Caenorhabditis elegans: one gene and its partner. The protein of the gene in region 1 interacts with the protein of each later gene in a pairwise test. Each region holds a gene or a part of one and is shown in the gene's direction. Other genes may lie near its edges. The genes, in order: pik-1 and actl-1.

Region 1 (8,954 bases):
ATCTGAACCCTTGCTTTTTTAGACCCAAAATGACTCAAAACTACCGAATTGTGTAATGAGACGTTTTGGAAATTTCTCAAAAAAAAAAGTTATGGTGGCTCAAAGTTCTGGAAAGAAGGCTAATTTTCAGCTAAAATCAACATTTTTGTCTAATTCTCGGTGTCGCAGCGTCTGGAACTTAATTTTGATTCAATTATCACTTTTTAAAGAATATTTTTGTTTTTTATTAGGCGTTTATTCGTTGATTTAAGTACATTTATTGTCAGTGGGGCACAAAAATGTAACTTTTATTTGTGTCCCACTTACCGAAAATATGTTTAAATCAACGAATAAACGCTTAATAGAAGACCGCAATAGTCTTTAAATAGTGATAATTACATAAAAATGATGTTCCAGACGCTGTGACACCGAGAAGTTGACCAAAATTTTGATTTTAGCTGAAAATGTGCCATTTTTCCAGAACCTTCAACTGCCATAACTTTTTTTTGAGAAATTTTCAAAACGTCCCATTACCAATTCGGTATTTTTGGGCTATTTTGGGTGTAAAAAACAAAGTCTCAGATTTCGGTACTCCAGCTTGAAAGTAAAATTGTTATTGCCAGACCTCCAAATTATGGAAAAAAAGCAAAAAAAAAGCTGAAAAAAAGGGAAGAAAGAAATGACATTAATAAGGTAGATCGAATGCCTTCTACAATATTTGACCTCATTGGTTGTAAATCGTTTATGGTGTGGAGATCAAATCTGTGCGCGCTCACCTGTATATCCATTCTTTTATTATTGATCTACTCTTCCAGTGTTGCAAAAACATCTGTTTTCTAGGTGACATCTCCAGAAGAATGTGCCAAGTAATGGAATGGAAGAGAGAGAAAATGTAGAGAGAGGGAGAGGGATGAGACGACGAGAGGAAGTGACGACACTCCGCTTTCCTCCGCTTTTGGATTTATTGGAATTTCAGAATTGTTCGTTTTATAAGTTTAATTAAATATTAAATTTTAATTTTAATTTAAAATATTTTTATTTTTAAAAATATAATAAAAACACATTCAAAACATTCTATACATTTTTTCAAAAAACCAATCAAAGGAGGAGTTTTATTGCTTTATTATACTCAAAAAGGCCCGAATACCCCGAATTTTATAACGAGAAAAAAATTAATTTCGAAGAAAAAATAGAATTTTCCCAATTTTTCGTTACACAACGGTTAGAAATTGATTTTTATTTGATTTTTCTTCTATTTTGAATATTTTTATTGGTTTTCTTGCGTTGTTTCGTTAATTTATCATCTAAAATTTTAATTTTTAAATCCAAACTATTAAATCAACAAAAAAACAGAAGATAAATAGGAAAATGAGCAAAATAGGGCAATAGTCAGATAAAAATCAATTTCCGATCGCTGTGAAACGGAAAAGTTGGTGAAATTGGAGATTTTAGCGGAAATAAACCTTTTAAAAGCATTTTTGAACAGTCTTGTTATGAAATTCGATATTTTGGGACCATTTTTAGTTTAATAAAGCAAAATAATTTTTGATTAGCTACTCTTTTAAAATTAAACTTGTTAAAATTGTTTAAATACATATTTTTAAAAATAATCTGGAATTTTTCAGAGACAATGGATGATTCTCTTGGAGTATCAGAAGTTGTAATGATTCCATTCATGAAACGAGAAGTTCTCCAGCAAATATGTGCGATTTTAGATACGGATAACACTTGGGAGACGATTGGTTCGGACTTTTTTATAACAAATCATTGAAATTTCGCGGTTTTTGCTCCAAAAATAGGGTCTCGAAACGACAAATTTTTGTTATATGCGAAACGGTGTGCGCCTTTAATTCTTAAAGCACTTTAAAGAATAGTTATTTCAAACATTCGAATCTGCGGATTTTTCATCGAATTTTTTTATAGTTTTCCTTTAAAGGTGGTGTAGTCGAATTTTTGTTATTGCTTTATTAGACTCAAAATTGTCTGAAAACACCGAATTTCTTAATAAAACTTCTAAAAAAAGTTATGACAGCTTAAAAAATGGCCTAAAATAAGTTAAAATTTGAAATTTGACCGACTTGTAAAGCGGCTGGAAACGAACTTTTTTGAAATCACCGTCTAATTGTAGGTATACCAGTTAATTATCTTGCGTTTTCAACTTGATTTAAGTATTTTAAAGTCTATGGACGACGAGATTTTTAACAATTTTTTTAAACCAAATCTCGCCGTCCATCGACTTTAAAATACCTAATTGTAAAGTAGTAGTCGAAAACGCAAGTTAATTGACATGTATACTCAAAATTTGACGGTGATTTCAAAAAAATTGTTTCCAGCCGCTTTACAAGTCGGTCAAATTTCAAATTTTAACAAATTTTAGGTCATTTTTTGAGCTGTCATAACTATTTTTTGAGAAGTTTTCAAAAAGTTTCATTATGAAATTCGGTGTTTTCAGATAGTTTTGAGTCTAATAAAGCAATAACAAAAATTCGACTACACCACTTTTAAAGGCGCACACATTTTCGCATTTAACAAAACAATTGTCGCGTCGAGACCTAGACAGAGAAATCACAAAATTTCACGTCTGGGGAATATAAATAGCAAAGTGTTCAAATATCCATAATTTCAGCACCTTACATGCCCGGAATTGAGTTGAGAGATGTTGAAGGTTGCAAGAGATATTCAAGTTATAACCAAAGTCCATCGGAGTTACTTTTAAGAATATGGAGCTCGAAAGGATACTCGACAACTCATCTTTATCAACTTTTTGCGAAAACAAAATTGATTCGATTGATGAGAATGATGAGGTCACAAGGTACAACTAATTGTTGTTTCTACTACAAAAATTTAAAATTTTTAATTCACAGTACATGAGAAGTATCATTATTTGGAGAACAAGGTCACAAATTCGACGTCTCGAGTTTCGAAACAAATGGTCCAACCGCCGGGGTCTCAAAGTGCGTCTCGTTTGAAAAAAACTGAAATAAAAGAGTCATCTCCGTCACCAGCAGCAGCAGCAGCTTCTCAGTTATCCAGGTCATTTTAGACATTTGGAAAAAATAATTGGAATTAATATAACTCTTAATCAGTTTTTTTTTTAGTTTTCGGAAAAAATTGAACTGTTGAAAAATTAAAAAGAGAACATTTTTCGTTTTACGATTTTCGAAAAATAAAAACAACGAAAAACCGACATACATGATTTTCGTCATGAAATAACAATATTTTTGCCTGAAATCGATGAATTTTTACAACTTGCTCGATTTCAAATGATTAATTTACTGCGAATTCATCTAATTTTTTGAGAAAAACCATCCCTTTACTTGGAAAGCATCGTTTTGTTTTTCTGCTGAAAACTACAGAGAAATTAAGAATTTGCGGGTTTTTACACTAAAATCATCAGCATTAACACTTGAAAAAAGAAATTTCCGGCAAATTGCCAGAATTAAAATTTCCGGCAAATCGGCAAATTGCCGGAATTAGAATTTCCGCCAAATAGGCGAATTGCCGGCAATTTGTCAAATTGCTGGAATTGAAATTTTCCGGCAAATCTGTAAAAATGCCGGAATTGAAATTTCCGGCAGATTGCCAAAATTGAAATTTCCGGAAAATCGGCAATGTGCCGATAATGAAAATTTCCAGTAAATCGGAAATTGCCGGAATTTAAATTTCCGGCAAATTGGCACATTGCCGGAATAAAAAATTTCTGGCAAATTGCCAAATTACCGAAATTGAAATTTCCGGCAAACCAGCAATTTGTCGATAATGAACATCTCCAGGAAACCGGCAAATTGCCAAAATTGAACAATTCCGGCATATTAGCAAATTGCCGAAAAAAAATAATTCGCGGGAATGTTCCAAATTCAAATATTCTAGTCACAAACTTGAATTTTTAAATTACTGTAAACTTCTCCTCGGGGAGTACACGAGCTGTGTAAATCGACACGGCGGCCATTCTATTTTTAGTATGAAATAGTTTTTATTTATAATAAAATAATTTTCAGAAGTAACACTGACGATACACTTCGTGTAGCAATCGAAGGAACACTTCCAGTAACTTATTGTGAACTTCTCGAAGCAACTAACGGCTTTGCTGTGAGCAATGTAATTGGAAAAGGTGGATATGGAACAGTATATAAAGGAGAATTAAAAGGAACTGGAGGAATTGTTGCAGTGAAAAGATTACATTCAGGAAATGATACATCACAGAATGGATCACGAGAACGACTTCGACAGAGTTTAACAGAATTACGAACACTGGCAAGATTTAGACATGATAATATTCTACCAATTTATGCATATTCATTGGAAGGATCTGAACCATGTCTTGTATATCAATTTATGTCAAATGGATCATTGGAGGATCGATTGTTGTGTAGAGTTCGTTCCGAAAAAATCTTGAAATAACTTGGAAAATTATGTTCTTTTTTCTGATCGAAATATACGAAATTTGAAAAAACTGGGACCTTTGTTTGTTAAATTTTTAATATTTTTTATTTTCAAAAAATTACAATTTTCGGTCGATGGTTCCAATTTCTAAACAACATCGAAAAAACGTTTAAAATTAAAAAAAAAATTTCATATTTGACAGAAAAAATAAACAAAAAATCGAATTTGTCCGTAAAACGAAACAAGAAACAAAAAAAATTTGGATTTTTAAAACATACCAATTAAAACATAATATTCCGACAAAAGTCCGAAAAACTAAAAAAAAAAACTACAGCCCTGATTCCGATCAAGGCTGCCGATTTTTTGATTATTGCCTAACATTCGAAAATTTTTAATTTTCCTATTATTTCATTTTGATGAGAAAAACATAATTTTTCAAAAAATAAGAAAAATTACCACAATTTTTGTTGTTGGATTTTTGAAAATGTATGATTTTCGCTTTTATAGTGAAAATAAGTAAAACAAATTCAGAAATCCCACAAAATAAAAACGGAAAAAATCGAAAAGGAAAGTTTTCAAATTTCGAAAAAAGTTGAATTTTTGGATTTTCGAGTTTTTTAGAATTTTGAAAATTTTTAAATGTTCAAAAATTAGAATTTCTTCGAGGTGAATTTTTTTTAAAAAGGGGAATTTTCCAGAAAAAAAAAGAAATTTTAAAAATTTTGAATTGTTCAGTTTTTCGAGTTTTCCGAAAGTTTGATACTTTAGAATTTTCAGAAAATTTGGACATTTTGGAATTTTCAAAAATGAAATAAAATTAAAAATTCATGATTTTCGGAAAAAAAAAGCTTTTCAAAATTTCAGAAAATTTAAAATTTTCGAATTAAAAAATTGGTTTTCAAAAATCTACAAAATTTATGCTTTGAAATTTTCTGGTTTTCGAATTCCCAACAAATAACATAAAATTTAAACATTTTGGAATTTTTTTAAAATTCTGTATTTTTCGTCTTAAAAAAGAGACTGGAAATTGTAACCAGAGTACAAGTATGCTCAAAATTTTGAAAATGTTCCAGAAATTGTTTTAAAAAAACTCGTTTCAAAATAAAAAATATTAGTTTTTCGAGTTCTCGAAGAAAATTTGTTTTTCGAGACCAAAAGAAACAATTTTGGACCGTAAAACAAAACTTTAAATCCAAAAATTTTGAAATATGAAAAAAAACCAAATTTTATTCTTGAATTAATTTTAAAAAATCGTGAGAAAGTAGAAAAAAATTTTATTTTTTAAATCTAAAAAAAATAAAAAATAAAAAACCAAAAAAGTCCCAGCCCTTGTACGAATAGGTATTACTTTTTCTTCTCAGAAAGGAAGTGTACCTCTCACGTGGATTCAACGAAAAGAAATCAGTATTGGAGCAGGTCGAGGACTCGGATTTCTTCATTCTTTCGGAAAAACTCCAATAATTCATGGCGATATAAAAACAGCGAATATTCTTCTCGACAAGCATATGGAACCGAAAATCGGCGATTTTGGTCTGTGTAGAGATGGACATGTTGAAGCTGAAGCAATGGAAAAGCATCCATTAATTGCTTCACATATCAAGGGAACACTTGCTTATCTTGCACCAGAATTCATTACATCAAAGATTCTTACCACAAAACTTGATGTCTATAGTTTTGGAATAGTACTTTTGGAAATTGCATCTGGTCAACGGGCATATTCGGATTCTCGTGAAACTCGGGGGCTCGTTGAATATTGTCAGGTTAATAAGGAATTGGCAGCACATCGGAAGATTCCAGTCAGAGAGATTTTTATTGATCGACGAGCGCCGCCACTTGTTGGTGATGAGGAAAAATCATTTTTGGATGCTCTGATTGAAGTTGGATTAGCTGGAGCGAATAACGATCGGAAAGTTCGACCGACTATGTCACAAATTGTTGAATATCTTTGTAAAAATTCAATTCCGCCAGTTGTCTAATTAATACTGTGTACCTTGCCATATTCCTCGAACTCGAAATTTTGCCATTTTTGAGTCAAAACTACGGTAGCGGGTCTCGACACGACCGCCTATAGAGATTACTGTAGCAGGGGCTTTTTTGGCAAATTTTTATATCCGGCAATTTGCCTATTTGCCGGAAATTTCAATTCTGGCAATTTGCCAATTTGCCTGAAAGTTTCATTTCCGGCAATTTTCCGATTTGCCGAAAGTTTTCATATCCGGCAATATGCTGATTTGCCGGAAATTTTTATTTTCTGAAAAATACCGAGTTGCCGGAAATTTCAATTGTGGCAATTCGCCAATTTGCCGGAAAGTTTGATTTCCGACAACTTGCCGATTTGCCGGAAATTTCAATTCTGACAATTCGCCAATTTGCCGGAAATTTCAATTTCATTTCGGTAAATTGCCGATTTGCCGGAAGTTGTTATTTTCGGCAGTTTGCCAATCTTCCAATTTGCCGGAAATTTTCACATCCGGCACTTTGCGTATTTGCCGGAAAATTTTATTTTTCGCAAATTACCGATTTGGCGGAAATTTCAATTTTGGCAACTCGCCAATTTGCCGGAAATTTTTATATCCAACGATTTGCCGATTTGCAGGAAATTTCAATTCCGGCAGTTTGGCGATTTGCCGGAAATTTCAATTCCTGAAATTTGCCAATTTGCCGGAAAATTTTCAGCAAATCGGCAATTTGACGGTTTGTCGATTTGCGGAAGTTTGAAATTACAGTACTCTTAACAAAAACTGTCGCTTCGAGACCAGATACAGTATTTTTGGCGCGAAATCGCGAACTTTTGCTTCTGGATAATAATTATTTATTATATATTTTTTATTGAATCTGTTTTTTTTAAAATATAATTTAATTTCTTCCCTTCTTATAACTGGATGTAAACCATTTTCCCAATTTTTTGAAAGTTTGAAATTTCAAGGTATTTTTCCAAACAATTCTCCAGAGATGGAAGAGGTTGTTCGATTCGAATGTCGGGACAGTAATCTTGAAATCTACGTGGTTCAACCCGGAGAACGTCTTTCGATTTTTGGATCGTGCTCGTTTTTGTGTTTAGGTAAAAATTTTGGGTTTTTGCTATGAAAAAAGACGAAAAATTGAAAATTTTTTAGATATTCTTTCGGTTTTTGTCTAAAAAATTTTAAAAATTTATAGTTTTTTCAGTTAAAAAACAGTTTGCTTTTCAGTTTTCCGGTATAAAAACTTTAAAAAATTTAGTTTTTTTGGTTTCAGAAAAATGAAAAATCGAAAAATTTTCAGTTTTAGATTTTCAAAATTTTAAAATTGATTTAAAAAAAGTTTTTGACTAAAAAAAATTGAAAAATCCAAAATTGTTTGTTTTGTTATTTTTCTGTAATTTTTCAAAAAAAAAAAATTTGTTTTTGATTTTAAATATTTGGAAAAATCGAAAATTTTTGGTTTGAAAGCATTGTACAATTTTTATTTTCACAAAAAAATCACAATTTAAGAAATCGATTTTTCAAAGGCTTGAAAAAATCTGAAAAATTTTCGGTTTTTTGAAAAAGAAAAACAGAGAAAAAACGAAATATTTCATTTTTCAACAAAAAAAAACAGAAAAATCGAAAATTTTCGTTTTTAGTTTTAAAAAAATTTGAAAAAATATAACATTTTACAGTTTTCGTTTCAAAAAAAAAAATTTTTTTTTTGAATTTTCTGAAAAAAATTTCTAATAAAAAAATCAGAAAACTCAAATGTTCTATTTTCGGTGTTCTTGAAAAATTAATTTTAAAATTGAAAATTGTTCGTTTTCTATTTAAAAAAAAAACGCCACTACAAAGTTTGAAATTCAGCTGGAAATGCGTCAATCAACGACTACAACCTTCCGGCAGTTTCGTGTGAATCGAGCAATTTCATGAAAATCTCGGCACCGCAGAGAATGGATGTACCGGTACAAAAAGTAAATTTCGACTTTTTAGAAATCAAAAGAATTTCTTCAGGCAATTCTACAAGTTTTTAAAAGTGGACCTTCTTATAAGCATGCTCGTCTCAAGTTTCGACTGAAAGAGGTTGCACCGAAAAATTACGAGAAAATTATGGAAATGATTGGAACCACGGAGCCATCTGTCTTTATTTTCAGCAAAATTTTAGATTTTGCTGAAGAGACAGTTTCTGGTGTTGTTTCTGTATGTTTTTAGGTGTATTTTTGCTTTGTAATAGTCTCAAATTCAGAAATACCACTAAAACAAAGGGCAAAAAAGATAATTTACAGAATAAAAAATTCTAGTGCATTTTTCAGTAAAAAAGAAGTAGAAATTTTCAAAATTTTGAATTTTTCAGCTTTTCGGGGTTTTGGAAATTTTGATACTTTTGAATTTTTCAATAAGTTTTCAAATGTTCAAAAAAGTTGTATTTTTGGAATTTTCAGAAATAAAATTAAACTAATAATTCATGATTTTTGGAAAAGTTTTCAGAAATTTTGTATTTTTAAGCTTTTCGAAATTTCAGAGCATTTTTAATTTTCGAATTAAAAAAAATAGTTTTGAAAAATCTACAAAATGTTTAGTATTCAGAAATTTAGAAACTGTGAAAAAACTTAGATTTTCAGAAAATAAAATAATAGCGAAATT
Region 2 (6,520 bases), on another chromosome or scaffold:
TAAAACAAAACCCATAAATACCCAAAATTTAAATATATAGTCGCTGCCAATTTTATGCAAAAGTCAGAGAAACATTGCTTTTTGTCTTGTAGCGACAATAATGCAAAATTATAAGCCAATTATTCGTCAGATCGCTACTCGCCCTTCCACGCGCCTCGGATACGGCTGGGTCCGTGCTGAAACACTTGGAGGATTCTTCAACGGAATCTTTATGTGTACGGTATGTGTTCTCGTGTTTCAAGAGGCAGTTGGACGTATCATCAATGTACACATGATTACACACCCTCTACAAGTACTTGTCATCGGATTCATCGGATTGCTAATCAACTTATTCGGTATGTTCAACTTGAGTGGTCACGGTCACAGTCATGGAGGCGGAAGTCATGGTCACAGTCACGGAGGAAGTCATGGTCACAGTCACAATAACAAGAAGACTAAGAAAAATGATGGGCATGGTCACAGTCATGCAAATGGCCATGGACACTCTCATGATGGGAAAAGTGATTGCAATGGTGAAGAAGAGCCGGATCACACTAGATTGAATGGAAAATTTCGAAGTGCTTCTGCGATGGCAAACTCCGACGCCAATGTGCGACTACTGGATAATGATGACAACTCCAATGACATTATTGAACGTCGTCTTTCTGGAGTTAATAGTCAGAATACCATCATCGCGACGGTCGATCGTCAAATGACACCATATGGAACACACATGGCCAGTGAAGTTCTCAATGTGTCTTCTAACAATCTCGATAAAAGTGCTCAAAAGACAGAACAGAAAAGTGAGTTTTTTTTTTGAGAAAACTCTAGTTTTCATTCGAAAATGTTTTAAATCAAAATAGTGTAGCGAAATGTTTGTAGAAGACAAAAATGTGAACATTCACGGAGTTTGGCTTCATTTATTGTCGGATGCCTTCGGATCTGTGATCGTCATGATTTCTGCCGGATTTGTATACTTTTTGCCAACATGGAAAATTGCCGCTTATTTGGATCCAATTTTAAGGTAATATTTATAAAATTTGGCCGAAAAGCTTCAAAACAAACCAATCTTAAAATCACTTATAATCATATAGTGCTGAAACCACCAAAAATCATTTAAAAAATGTCAACTTTTATTTTGGAAAACTGCGAGTCGGAAAACAGTGAAAACTCTTTTTGTCAATTTTTTCTAAAGTCGAGGATCAAAAACAATTTTTTTCAGTTTTTATACCACGATTCGGTTGTTATCCATTTTCCAGCATTACAGGGGCTCGAACTTTGATTTGGATTTCTCGGAAAGTGGCTCAAGATCAGTTTTCCTAACTTTTTGACTCGCAAGAAAAACATTTAAAAGAAAAACATTCAATGTTTTTAGAAAAGATTTATGTTATTATTAGTAATTATGAAACCACATAATAGTTTTTTTTTTAAATTTAGTCTTCTCTGGCTGTACTCCACCATTCAGTATTTTAAAATTGTATTTTTGTATAAAATTGTATTGTATAATATTTTAAAAAGGACCGTTAATTTTCAGTATTTCCCTGGCCTCCATCATGGGTTTCACTGCAGTGGTTCTTGTCAAAACATCGGGAGAAAAGCTGCTCAAGCAAACCCCAGAAGGGCTCGACCTCGAAAAGGTGAAAAAAGATTTGTGCAGCATTGTTGGTGTATCCAAAGTGGAAAAGCTGTCTGTGTGGACGTTGTGTGGGCAACGAATCATTGCTGCCGCCCACGTGAACATATGTCACCCAGCAGTTTTTCCTGAAGCTGCTTATAAAATTAAAAATTATTTCCACGACTTGGGAGTACACTCAACGACTATTGAACCCACCTTTGAGGTAAGCTTTTATTTATCTTGTGCGAAATCGAAAATAAAAAAAAAATTCAGGATACCTGCATGCAGTCGATGAGAATAATGGTTAAAAAAGTTGTTGATGGCAAAAGCATCGAGGAGCCAGTCAGTGTGTCAACTGAAAATGAAATCACCGAATAATCGTTCAAACAACTATTTTATTTTTGATTAAAAAATTTTGAACTTCGCGGGCCGAAAATACCAACATTAAAATGTACTTTTTCTTCTCCTTGAAACTATGTTTTTGCATTTGATCGTTTTAGCATCTCAACATCTACTCACCTTTCTTAGTTTCCTTCATTAACCGTATAATTTTTTCCACAATCTGGTCAAAAACTCGTCAAACTATTTAATTTATACGTGTCAATCCATTTCCCCACCCCCATTTACTGAAGTGTCCTTACTTTGTGTCTACCAATTTTCACTTACGCCTACTTGTTTTGTTACCCTTCAGTAAGAATTTCTCTAAATTTCTAGAGTGATAAAAAATAATAAATGAAATATCCATTTTAAGTAAAAACTAGTTTGAACATCCAATGGTTAATGCCAAATTGTCTACTATATTTATAAATAATTATACATACAGTAATAAGCGAAAAATGACTAAGATGAAAATGGACGTAACAATTGAGTTGGATCTTGATGGCGATGATTGGGAGGAGGTTGATGTGGTAAGTTGGTAGTTCAAAAGATTTTTGTGTAAAAAAGAAACTGATTGAATATATTTGAAGTGTACTATCAAGTTGCTCGAAATGCGACTTAAAGTTGTAATGTTCCGAATTACTGTTTTTGTCGGCACATTGATATTTGAGTCAGTTTTAAGCAATTTTTCAAAACATTTGATCGAAGTGACAGTATTAAAAAATGTTTCTTATACTCCTGTTCAAATTTCCAAATAAAATGTTAACAAAATATACATCTTGAAAATTTCAGTTATCCGACAAATGCGTTGAAGATATTCTAGAAGACGTTCACATAGATGATCCAATTTTAGTATCTGATGTTCGAATTACCCTACCTGCAAACATTCGGTATGTCATTCTATTCTATAAAAAACGTCAAGTAAAAAAATCGATTACAGAATCAAAAACTTCAAGAAAGAAATACGAGATTTGATTTTAGCAAATCTAGATGTCCCAACAACGGTTTCGGCCGGATCATGGCAGATTGTTTCAAGTTTCTTGCGCGGCATTGAATACTCGGTAACTTTCAAAAATAGTTTCAACGTTTATAAAGTTTGTTTTCAGGAGATAGGAGGAAGGGAACGAAATAGCAAGCTATCGTGGAAGCCATTTGAAGATATGCACGCTCAAATACTTGTAAATGCTCTAGCATATGCTCAACGAGTCGATATTTTAGTGAAGCTTAAATCGTATATAGATTCCAACAGTTATCTGAAAAATGGTGAGTTATCATTTTCATGTAACAATTTTTTAAATTTGACTGATATTATTAAAACTAATTCATACATGCACATTGTAATTACAGTTCCCGAACCAATGTTTGCATTTGCTGACACGGACTCCATGGCAAGTACAACTACATTTTCAGAATATGCGGAGCCTGTACATTCGATGAATGCTAGGAAAAGCAAGTTTTAATTGAAGTTTTAGTAATTGGAACCTAATACATTTATTGTTTCAGAAATATTATTGTTGCACTATGAAACTACGTCCAAAGAAAAGGAAGATTTCAAATGGTTTAAATGCAATTTGAAAAATGTTTTAGAAAAAGAACGCAAGGAGGGAAAAGACTTGGAAGTTTTTGATGTGAAGGTGTGGGAGAAGGATGATCGGGGAAACGTGTTTCAGGAGCTGGAAAAGCATTATGATCTAGTGAGTTGGCAATAAGTCTAGTCATTTCGGGGGCATGTTATCAAATTATTATCAAAAAATAACAATTGCACAGGCCACGTGGCTTTTGTTTTTTTATTATATTTCTTTTTTATTTAGGCTCCTCCCATGTTTGACTTTTAGTTCAATTTTTAAATTCTCTCCGAAAATAAAATTGTGGGAGGAGCGTAAATAAAGATGAAATAAAAAACAAAAGCCACGTGGCCTGTGCGATTCATATTTTTTGATAATAGTTTCAATTTTTCAAATGTATTTCATTGTGTAACATTTCGGAAACAACTTTTTGGTTTTTTGAAAGATTTGAACATTATAGACTTTAAAGCCCTGTAAGTCTAATACTGTTCTGGTGTTTTTTTTTTACGGATTTAGTTTTCATTTTTCCAGAAATCGTGGGCAATGTTTTTTTTTATTATTATTCAACTTTTTCTAAGTTGTTTGTGATTGTAAATTACTGATTACAAAATTTTTTGCATTTTCCAGTTTCCGCATATTGTTGTGTGCTTCAATAAATCTTACATAGAAGCCACAAAACCGAACAGCAAAAGCAAAATGCCTCAGTTCCGAAAATCAATCAGTGATAAGTTGAATGTAGAATTCCACATGAATGGCAATCGCAATTTACGAGGCAGATGTGTACTTATGTCGGTGAGTTTGGTATTTTGAAAGAGGAGTAATTTCTGGTATCCAGAAGGTTTTAGGTTAAATGTTAGGTTAAAGGTTAATTTTTTTAAAACTGATGCAGTGAAAATCTTTGATTCAAAATTATATCTCGATGTTGAGGCAATTATTTTCATTTTCAAAGATGGAGTAGCAAAATTGGGGACATTGCTCATTAAAGTTAAGACCAAATGTACCCAATTTTGTGATGAGGTTCTGAAGTTTTCTCAAAAACAGGTTATGGCGGTTCAAACTATTGAAAAAATATTGTATTTTCATCTAAAATCGCAATTCTGTATACTCGACAAAACCACAACTTGCAAAAGTAAAATTTCATGTGAGCCTAATTCATTACGTTGGCGAAATTTGAGATTTCAGCTGAAAATAGGGTTTTTTTTCCAAAACTGAACTACCGTTATTTTTTATGAGAAGTTTTAGAGTTTTCTCATTACGAACGTCGGAATTTTGTGATCATTTTTGGTCTGATAAAATAAAGACTCAAATATAGCTGCTCCACCTTCTACAAAATTTTTTGATTAATTTGTCTTAACATCACATTTAAAAACTTCGTTTTTAATTAAAGATTGCAGTATCTTTCTGAAAATACATGGCTGGACATCTAACTCTCTGGCTTCCAAAAATGTTTACACTGTGTGAAATGTGTATTATAGGAAGTGGAAAAAGTAACGGACACGTACTGGGCAGCTGTAACGAATCAATATCCATTCCCCGGAAGTTTTGAACCATTTGTGAAGCGTCTTCTGAGAGATGGAAAAGTGAAGAAACAATCACACAATAATGCAAATGATCATCACGAGGATTCCATGAACTACAGTATTACACAATAAACACCATGTGGTATTTTGAGCCAATAATCTATACATTGTAGCATCTGATGAACTTTTTTTTCATTGTACACTTTTTTGATGACAGTCACGTGTTTTTTTAGATTTCTCAGACAGTCTTTACTATCCACATTTTTTCATATTACAAAAACAGTATTTTTCTTTCAATTTTCTCAGTTAATCTATTAAGATGTTGTTTCCGACTTTCAATTTCCAGATTTTATTATACACTAATGAAATAAATCTTACAGAAGGTTCTATCTTTGAACACTATGAATTCATAATTGTGAAGCACTTTTATCCTAGACAACTTTTCCCCACTCTTCTCACATCTTTTTATAGGTTTCAGTTTCTCAATTGAAGCTGACACATCTGCCGCGCTTTTAATTAAATTAGCGGAAACTAATATTCAGAACAAATTTGAAGAAGAGATTGAGACAAAATCTGAGTGGTAATAATTGAGAGTAACAACTATGGGGATGTTTTCATAAACCCCTTGGCAAACTCAGTCGCTCAGATGGAAATCCTATGCTTTCAATACTTTTCACCCTTTTTTCGCTAACCGGGAACATCGGTTCATAATCAAAATTTCAATTACAAGTTGTTGAAAATTTTGAATTTTGAGAAATAAGTTTGATGCAAAATTGTTTCACGAAATTAATTGTTTCACTTTTCCCATTGGCAATATTCCATCTTAACATTTTAATTTTTGTGAGTTCATTGGACGCTTTTACAATTATTTTCCCCGAAATACGTGCCAATGAGGTTTCGAGAGAAAGGTTTCCTAGTTGACAATTTTTATTTTCTCCTTTTTCAAACAGTGGATTAGCAATCGACTGGCATGATGAAGAAGGAGGAGATCATCTCAAAAAATATTAACCAAAATAATAGGCAAAGCTTATCAGACGGCATTAGATGTACAACAGCTTCTGGAAAAAGATTTGATATGATAGTCATAGTCACTTTACATCCAACGATAACAATTTTTTCTTTGCATCCCTGTTTTTTCCTTACTTTTTATTGCTTGTGAGAGTGAGTAATGGAAAGATCTTTGTTATTTTTTTAATCTTGATTGTGGTGCTCCTGGCAAACGAAACAAAGCACGAACAGAAGGAGCAAGCAAAAGTTTGTGTTGCGCCCTAAGAAAATCCACATAAAACATGCTTTAAAGCACTCGGACCACCAATTTATCTGTCATTAATTCAAGTTTCATTAAGCCCTACCGATTCGCATCACTGCACCAATTTATAAAGAAAAGCCTAACTTTTTTCATCATTTCATCATTGACATTTGTTTCTTATCCCTACTAGCTCACTTTTAGTTTTTCCCCCTTT

The links.
Region 2: the proteins of pik-1 (region 1) and actl-1 interact in binary tests that used the Caenorhabditis elegans proteins (3 or more experiments, as listed by UniProt).

Annotation. Positions count from the first base shown.
Region 1 is NC_003282.8:13,415,188-13,424,141, forward strand, and holds pik-1 (Pelle-like serine/threonine-protein kinase pik-1), read left to right. Parts: upstream 1-1,604; 5' UTR 1,605-1,609; coding exon 1,610-1,721; intron 1,722-2,605; coding exon 2,606-2,791; intron 2,792-2,843; coding exon 2,844-3,012; intron 3,013-3,977; coding exon 3,978-4,353; intron 4,354-5,723; coding exon 5,724-6,338; 3' UTR 6,339-7,204; downstream 7,205-8,954. Other genes in the region: Transcription factor aptf-2, read right to left, coding at 756-767; Polynucleotide 5'-hydroxyl-kinase nol-9, read left to right, coding at 7,315-7,423, 8,178-8,275, 8,325-8,510. UniProt on the Caenorhabditis elegans protein: Through association with the adapter actl-1, may act downstream of the receptor complex composed of ilcr-1 and ilcr-2, which is a signaling complex that modulates neuronal activity and animal behavior in response to sensory neuron input.
Region 2 is NC_003284.9:6,495,747-6,502,266, reverse strand, and holds actl-1 (ACT1-like protein), read left to right. Parts: upstream 1-2,430; coding exon 2,431-2,502; intron 2,503-2,764; coding exon 2,765-2,862; intron 2,863-2,912; coding exon 2,913-3,033; intron 3,034-3,078; coding exon 3,079-3,235; intron 3,236-3,319; coding exon 3,320-3,421; intron 3,422-3,475; coding exon 3,476-3,666; intron 3,667-4,164; coding exon 4,165-4,329; intron 4,330-5,012; coding exon 5,013-5,189; 3' UTR 5,190-5,464; downstream 5,465-6,520. Other genes in the region: cdf-1 (Cation diffusion facilitator family protein 1), read left to right, coding at 131-782, 862-1,003, 1,514-1,817, 1,868-1,972. UniProt on the Caenorhabditis elegans protein: May act as an adapter to facilitate downstream signaling for the receptor complex composed of ilcr-1 and ilcr-2, which is a signaling complex that modulates neuronal activity and animal behavior in response to sensory neuron input.